Yarrowia lipolytica: one gene and its partner. The protein of the gene in region 1 binds, or shares a complex with, the protein of each later gene. Links are inferred from orthologs where the notes say so. Each region holds a gene or a part of one and is shown in the gene's direction. Other genes may lie near its edges.

Evidence for each region.
Region 2: the proteins of YALI1_B03719g (region 1) and YALI1_E18242g are in contact, whole or in part, in an NMR structure (PDB 2JU0), measured with the Saccharomyces cerevisiae proteins. The link is inferred for Yarrowia lipolytica from reciprocal best matches to the Saccharomyces cerevisiae genes PIK1 and FRQ1. Residues at the interface, in NP_014132.1 of Saccharomyces cerevisiae: Ser122, Tyr123, Gly124, Phe125, Val127, Ala128, Val131, Asn134, Leu135, Gln136, Asn138, Asn141, Thr142, Ser143, Lys151, Glu154, Asn155, Val156, Ala157, Pro158, Ala159, Leu160, Val161, Ser163, Ser164, Met165, Met167, Ser168, Ile170; in NP_010661.3 of Saccharomyces cerevisiae: Trp30, Gly33, Phe34, Arg36, Asp37, Ile51, Tyr52, Phe55, Phe56, Phe64, Phe72, Phe85, Leu89, Thr92, Ser93, Arg94, Lys100, Leu107, Tyr108, Met132, Ser134, Met135, Glu142, Arg148, Lys151, Leu155, Asp176.

What each region holds. Positions count from the first base shown.
Region 1 is NC_090771.1:368,215-373,423, reverse strand, and holds YALI1_B03719g (uncharacterized protein), read left to right. Parts: upstream 1-1,507; coding exon 1,508-4,390; downstream 4,391-5,209. UniProt on the Saccharomyces cerevisiae protein: Acts on phosphatidylinositol (PI) in the first committed step in the production of the second messenger inositol 1,4,5,-trisphosphate. PIK1 is part of a nuclear phosphoinositide cycle and could control cytokinesis through the actin cytoskeleton.
Region 2 is NC_090774.1:1,822,290-1,825,517, forward strand, and holds YALI1_E18242g (uncharacterized protein), read left to right. Parts: upstream 1-1,978; coding exon 1,979-2,551; downstream 2,552-3,228. Other genes in the region: YALI1_E18212g (uncharacterized protein), read left to right, coding at 1-698; YALI1_E18258g (uncharacterized protein), read right to left, coding at 2,703-3,228.

The sequences.
Region 1 (5,209 bases):
TATAGACATGGGGAGTTGAAAAAGGTGGGTATTTCGTAATGAATCAATGTGAAAAAGTCGGTTTGTGACCTTGTCCGTCGCGTGGCTGAGAGAAGATCTTCAGTCGATGGCAGATTGAGGGAGAGAGTAAGAACAGCATGAGAGTATGTACGGTACTATCTTCAATATATCATACATAGGCACCTCAAGTCAAATGAACTGGAACTACTTTCAAAAAGACAAACGAAAGGATTTAAATTTCTTTTGATAGCTGAGATTTTTTTTCTGCATATACATGAGAAGCTCAATGATATCATACCAAATGTAAAGTAATTAGTTAAGATTAATCCAGGCTATCGTTGAGAAACCAAACATTCGTCTAGTCTCGCTCACAGCAATGCTAGTGTTGTTCGGCCCGACAATGAACACCAAGAGACGGATCTGATTCCCCCAGACCAACTTCTGGCCACATGGGACTAATTTTCCTCACCCCGCACCACTATCCCCGCGTCCTAGCACCGAAAAGCTAAGTAAGTGTAAAAAGCTCAAAAGTGGCAGACCGATATCTGAAACGCCTTGAAAAGTTCAGTGGAGTTTCCGAATCAGGACAAACAGGTGCAACCAGAAAAATTAGCCAGCAGGTAATAACACTCATTAGTCCCTGTTTTGCTTACTAATATTCAACTACCTCTAAACCAATTGAATCCCCGCAATTGGTCTGTTACTAATACATTTCCCCCGTCATCTCATCACTTGTTTAGAGATTCCCAGTCTTCACACTACTTATGGGTACATGATGATATGCGTGTATCTCGTCATTACAAAGACGGAGTAGGAAAAAAATGAACACCAGCATTCCAACCTCCTCGACGCCTCGCCAAAGTCACATGACCAACGTTACGCTCGTCAGTGTTACCCTCTTGAGGCCAGCTCACACGACACCTATTCTCAGGTACAGTTGCAAGTGTAATTATTTGGGAGGTGGAGGCCAAAGGTTGGAGGTAGGGGTGTAGCATAATGTGAGAGCAGTGTACCCAGTATCATAGTACATGTTTGGCATTGCCATGGGCCGAGGAATTGGGCGCGTTGATTTAGTTTTGTGTAATGAAACACAAACACGGGCGAATAATATAAATACTTTGACCCCCCCGCGCTTCCCACCATATTTATATTCTTTATATTCCTCGTTCGTTCGTCTCTGTCCTTCTCCATCTTGTACACGTCAAGAAGTTGCCATGTCTACACCTTATTCACTCCGTGTAAGGTTTGGCCGAGTTTATCTCGACAAGGTACCACACAGCACACATCCGAGGTTCGACACTGGAGGTGCGACGGTAGACCTGAGTTGCCACGACAAGGAGAGTTCGACGCGACCACCGACAAACAACTGCGACATTACATCTCTGTCGTGATCAGGACTACACAACACACCACCCTCTTCACGCAACACCAACCTGCCATACGCCAGACAGCTCATCACACACCACACACACACACACACGTACACACGCACACACGTTAGATCATCATGCAATACCAACGAAACTCGTCGCTAAGGCGGTTCGTGGAGTCCGACCAGTTCACGCTCTTCCGGTGCTTGTCCTATCTCGAGCGATACGCGGGCGACATTGGTATTCACTTCTATCTGTGTCAGAAGCTGCTGTCGTTTCCGCGAGACGAAATCGAGTTCATCCTGCCCCAGCTGGTCCAGCTTCTCATCACGGTGGAAACCGAGTCCATGGCCCTCGAAGACATCATTCTGGATCTCTCCAACGTGTCTGCGCACTGTGCCTTGCTGACGTTCTGGCAACTGCAGGCACATCTGACCGATCTGGGAGATGATCCCGAATCTTTCGGCTTCCAGGTGTCGCGACGAGTCTACAACAAGCTGCAGTACATTCTGTTCAACATTGGCGAGCCGCCCAACTCGCGAATCAGAGAGAACCCCATGCCTGCCATGGTTCTGGCCTCGGCAATCATGGGAGCCATTGGCATGCCGCAGATGGCCGCAGCTGTGGGACCCATTGCGCTTTCACAGGGCCGAAAACAGAGGTCGTACGTGTTCCAGATTGCACCCAAACTGACCCGTTCTAGATCGACCGTGGAGGCTGACAGAGACGCCCTTCTACAGCGAAAATGGCGGACCATCAGCCAATCTGGTGTCGCACTGCCGTCCAAACGGGAGAAGCACCAGCATGAGCATTTCAGAGACGCCCCCAAAGCAACGCCCTACAAAAACTCGTCCTTTTCGGCTCCCGATCTCCAAAACGCATACCATTCGGCCCCCGATCTACGCCCTTCAAACGAGTGGGACGGCACTCGAACGCCGGTGAGTCTGGAGTTTGACGATGCACCCGGCTTCGAATCCGAGGAGCCACGTGACACCTCTCCGGACGACATCGAGGAGCGAGCCAAGGACGACCAACGAAAGATTCTGCGATCAAACTACTTCCGATGTGAGACACAGTTCATGTCAGCCCTGCAACAAATCTCCGCTCGACTTCTTCAGGTGCCTAAGCAAGCCCGTCATGCTGCTCTGAAGGCCGAGCTCACTCTTCTGAACCAGGAGCTTCCTGCTGAGGTCGACATTCCCCTTTTGGTTCCCTCGGACACAATGAGAAAGAACCCCACACACCACAGAATCGTGCGAGTGCCTCCCGCCGAGTCAGCTGTACTGAATTCGGCTGAGCGAGTGCCTTTCCTCATTCTGATTGAGTACCTGGAAGACGACATGACGTTCGACCCCGAGTGTGCAAAGAACAAGGAGGTTCTGGAGCATGCAGACAAGAAGAAGTACATTTTCGATCTCACTGTGAACCACAAAAAATCGTCTCATGCTCGAACCCCTTCTCTTGGACGATACCACGACGAGGATGCTGCCAGTATCAAGAGCAACCGATCGGCCACGTCGATCGCCAACTCTCTGGTTGGTTCAACCATTGCTGAATTGGAGGAGCTTGGCATTGCTGAAGACGACGAGCTGCCAGCTGAAGATGCTGACATTGGAGACATTTCTGTTATCTCCATGGACGAGGAGACTCAGGCCGAGCGCGTGAAACAATCCGTGCTCAACACCCTGTCCCATCTCCAAGAGAGCATGCCCTCTCCCAAACTGCATGATGTGGCCAACAGTCCGTATCAATCTTCTCCTCGAACATCAGATTTGTCGTTTGCGTCTTCGTACAAGTTCGAGAAGGCGCCTGAGGACCCCGTCAATCACTTGGAGCTGCCCGACGTGGCGTCTGTGGCCACCCAGATGCGTACAGCTGCCATCATGCTGACACAGCTGGACTCCTCCACAGGATCTAAGCTTTCCAAGGACGAAATCGCATCGATCAAGGCCCGAATCATCGATAACATGCAGGTTATGGAAGAGACGACTCTGGACGACCGTGACTTGTCGCTCTCCAAGGGCGCTGCGGGTGAGCGAAAGTTGGAAAACGATCTGAAAACTGGTGGTATGATGAAGTCGTCGGACCCCTCGCATGCCAAGCTCGGAGAAGACTGGGAATCGAAAAAGGCACGAATCAGGTCAAAGTCGCCGTATGGGCACTTGCCCAACTGGCAGCTGGCTTCGGTCATTGCCAAGACCGGAAACGATCTTCGGCAAGAGGCATTTGCCTGCCAGCTAATCCAAGCTATGAAACGAATCTGGGACGACGCTGAGACAGGCGTGTGGGTCAAGGAGATGAAGATTCTGATCACGTCTGACACCTCTGGACTCATTGAGACCATCAACAATGGTCTGTCGATCCATTCTATCAAAAAGGCGCTCGAGACAAGCAATGTTGTCCAGACTACAGCTGCCACTCAGACCACAACCAAGTACGTGCCTACTCTGACTGAGTACTGGAAGCAGACGTTTGGCGACGAGGACTCCGACCGGTACCAGAACTCTTTGAACGCCTTTGTTCGTTCGCTTGCCGCTTACTCCATCATCTGTTACATTCTCCAGATCAAGGACAGACACAATGGTAACATTTTGCTTGATACGGACGGTCATATTATGCATATCGATTTCGGATTCATGTTGTCCAACAGTCCTGGAGGAGTCGGTCTTGAAGCTGCCCCATTCAAGCTCACCTACGAGTACGTGGAGCTCATGGGGGGTATGACCTCGCCCCATTTTGAGCTGTACCGACAGCTGATGAAGGACGCGTTCAAGAACCTGCGAAAGCAGGCCGAGTCGATCATCTTGCTGGTCGACATGATGTTACAGGATTCTGCTCTGCCCTGTTTCCAACTGGGCCCGGCCACCACACAGTACCTGCGACAGCGATTCCAGCTACAATTGTCGGATTCGGACTTGGACCATTTCGTGGACACGTCCCTGATCCAAAAGTCGGTCGGCAACATTTACACCAGAATCTACGACCACTTCCAGTTGTACACTCAGGGTATTTACAGTTAAGCCGACGGGATGTCGCACATGGTTATAGATCTAATGGAAGAATATATGAACATATCAACACTGTGTGTACAAGAAGATTGTAGTTTGAAGAGTAAGAGAGTCGCAATCGTTTCCTTTTGAGGTCTTCTACTAGTAAGTATGTAGTTGTCGCCTAACGTAGATGGGCGTAGTGTATATGGATGCTGCCGTTGAGTGTTGTAGGGTCACTTTTCTCACGTTTGAGAAGTAAGATTAGGGAGGAAACTGCAGCCACTTATCCCTCAAAGGTTGAATAACCATTCGGTGTACGGTACCTCTTTCATGTCAAGGAATCATTGTGGGCATCGCACGAGCACACCACTGTCTCGATTAGCAATGGATTATGAAAGAAATGTTTTCTTGAGATGTAAGTTGAAAGCACAGGATTAAGAGTATATACTGTTGTCTCTTGTTTCACTTGTTATCTTCAGGTTTCAGGCCGTTTTCAAAAAACTCGAAAATCACTTTTTTCATCATTACTAGCCAGAACTCACTCTCTACTCTATCTATCTTCGAGCGGCATGGCGCAGCGGAAGCGCGCAGGGCTCATAACCTTGATGTCCCTGGATCGAAACCAGGTGCCGCTAATTGTTTTTTTCCTTTCCACAACCCGTTTTTGCTGAGAGCCCGGAGATATCTTTGGTGGGATCTGTTGTACCTATAGTATGAGTCAGAGCGAATTTTGTCTAGTAAATTCTAAGTAAATGATTGTCTATTTAGAGTTCTTTTGTGAGTTTTTTCAATAAGGCTTATTGAAAATAAAGTTCAACGTACCTCATCGATTCCGATTTCCAGTATCCA
Region 2 (3,228 bases), on another chromosome or scaffold:
ATACTGTCAGCAATGCATTTCGCATTCAAGAAGAGTCTGGCGGAACGCGCAATGATGGCTGCATTTCTGGCGTGGCTACATTTCTAGCTCATGTCAACGCTCTCTCTCTCGATTTGATAATCCACTGGAACTCTTCGGTGACTCATCATAGGCAATTCTGGCCCATGTACTGCGGTGAGATGGCTGGCGCTCTGAGCAACTCGCAGCTTCGGCATTTACACCTTGAGTGCAAGGAGGATGACAGAGGCACACTTATGATCCCATACGTGTGCCTCAGTTACATCGTTGCCAACCTCTCACCTCACTTGGAAGGTCTTGGTATTTCATATCCCCTCCTCGACACTGACCACAGTTACAATCGATCCTACTCGAACTATGGAAATGGCGAAACGTTACAGGATCTCTTAAAGTACCTTAATGTCAAGTATCTTGATCTCCTAAACTGTGGACCCCCTCCGCGAGCATGTTCCCTAGTTGGTGGGGGAGCTGTTGCCATACCTGGATTCGAAGATGGCCACCACCCTGATGATTACAGCCGCGTCATCCGAGAGATACTACCCGCCATCCCATCCACTCGCTACGTGGGTATTGGATCGCATGTTTTTGACGTAAGAGATCCTTCCCGGTTACCTATTGTTAGAGACGGACTTCGAGAGTGGTTTATCGACAAACTCCTGGGGCTTGAGAATACCTCATAGTAATTCTCACGACCATCACGAATCATGATGACTTTTACGACTTTCACGACTTTCACGACTTTCACGACTTTCACGACTTTCACGACTTTCACGACTTTCACGACTTTCACGACCTTTACGACCTTTACGACCTTTACGACTTACGACTTTTCCGACCTTATGACGCTTATGACCTTTATGACCTTTACGACGCTCACGACCTTTACGACCTTTACGACCTTTACGACTTACGACTTTTCCGACCTTATGACCCTTACGACCTTTATGACATCTATAACCTTTATGACCTTTATGACCTTTATGACCTTTATGACCCTTCTGATGACTTTATGACTTTATGACCCGCTTTATCCATGATCCCCACGATCATCACGACCTTGCTATTACGACACTGTTTATAAAGTCCTATGACCCTTATGATATTAATGACTCTAATGACTCTAATGACTCTACGATTTTCGTGACCTCACAGCACACACAACATCCCTTCAATACATATTTAAAAAAATAATGATATCTATTAGCGTACAAATCTATGCCGATACCGGTATCATAGTTACTGACAACTGAAAAATTATATGTGTAAGTTGTCAACATTGAGGATGCCAAGGGTACTTGTATCTGCGCATGAGGTATGCCAAGAACCATGAGACAAATTCGAGTGTACTGTTCTTGTAGCTACTGGATATCGGTAGTACAAAAGATGCGCTTTCCGACACTGTAATGTCAATAGAAGTTTGTGAAATAATATACCAAAATACCAAACACCAAGCTCGGAACTTAGATGATCGTCAAAATATTCAACCGTCGTAGAATCTCGAAAAACAATAATGATCCGTCCGTTCAGATTAAAGTTGGAACTGCGCCTCCACACGGCACTTGAATTGGTCACCTCAACATCATTAGTGGTATGATAGAAAGATGGCGGTGATGCTGAAGCTGGCGGTTGCCTCTACCAAGTCGGGTTTTGTTTTCTGTGATCTAATATAATTGCGCAAAGATGCGGTATCCCTTCGTGGTTTCACCACTTATAAGCCTACAGTGTGCACACATCTGCAGTGTTAAACCATGCCAGTCCGGGGGGGTTCTAAGCAGATACAACTTTGATCACCAGAAGGGTGCGTGAGCAGCTGCGCAAGACACCCGACACTCACAACCCAGACTTTACAGCTGCTAACCACACGTTGACCGCCACAACCAGGATCCGTTGACGACACAAATTAAGGGCAAATTCGACAAAACTAGCATAATCGCATTGCTATAAAAGACACGGTTTCACCATGGGAAAAGCAGCATCGAAACTGTCTAAGGACGAGCTCACTGAGCTCAAGAAAGCAACCTACTTCGACCGAAAGGAACTGCAGCAATGGTACAAGGGCTTTCTCAAGGATTGCCCGTCTGGCCAGCTGAACAAGGAAGAGTTCCAAAAGATCTATCGACAATTCTTCCCATTCGGCGACCCTTCCATGTTCAGTGAATACGTCTTCAACGTTTTTGACAAAGACAAGAGCGGAACGGTGGATTACAAGGAATTCATCTGTGCGATCAGTGTAACCTCGCGTGGAACCCTTGAGGAGAAGCTAGAATGGGCCTTCCAGTTGTACGACATCAACGGCGATGGTAAGATCAGCTACGATGAAATGCTTGCCATTGTCACGGCCATCTACAAGATGGTTGGCTCAATGGTCAAACTACCTGAGGATGAAAGTACACCCGAGAAGCGAGTGGACAAGATTTTCCGTCAAATGGACAAGGATCGAAATGGTGAGCTGACTCTGGAAGAATTCCGAGAGGGATCCAAGGTTGATCCCACCATCGTCAGTGCTCTTAATTTATATGACGGACTTGTCTAACGAGGTCCTTGATTGTCGTCCACAACCTATGTATCCAATATACCTTCATATTTTGTTTCATTCAGCTTATTAAATGTTATAGGAAGCATGGTTCCTTTTAATACTGTTATCTCTTTGTAGGTCACACACGGATAGTTAGCTACAGTATGCTCTATTTACCCAAAACGCCAGGCAGAGGCTCGCTACCAACGCTCATCATGAGCTTGATACCGAGAGTAATGGTAATCAGAGCGACAACTGCAGTCCAGAAGAAAAGCTGGAACTGGACGCTCACGTCCTGCTTCTGGCACAACTTTCCTCCTCGGCCAGTCTTGCACTTGCATGTGTAGGCAGACTCGCCACGGCCCTTGGAGCAAGCACCATGGCCTGAGCAGTTATTTGTCTTCTCGTTGCACTCATCCTCAGAGCCAAATCTGGCAATACCAATAGCCTGCTTCTTCTTGGAGGCTGCTAGGCGGCCACGTTTCTCCTTGTTTGTAGCTCGGAGGCATGAGGGGGCGTACACGACGGTGACAGGATTCTTTTCGTCGGCGTTAGAAATCAGCTCTTCAATATGGCTTGACGAAGACGACATTATGAGGGAAGCCTTGGCAGCTCCATGCTTTTGTTCCAGTCGGTGACTCAGTTTCTGAATAGCGCCCATATCGATGGCGGACTCAATTGCGTAAAGAGCCCCA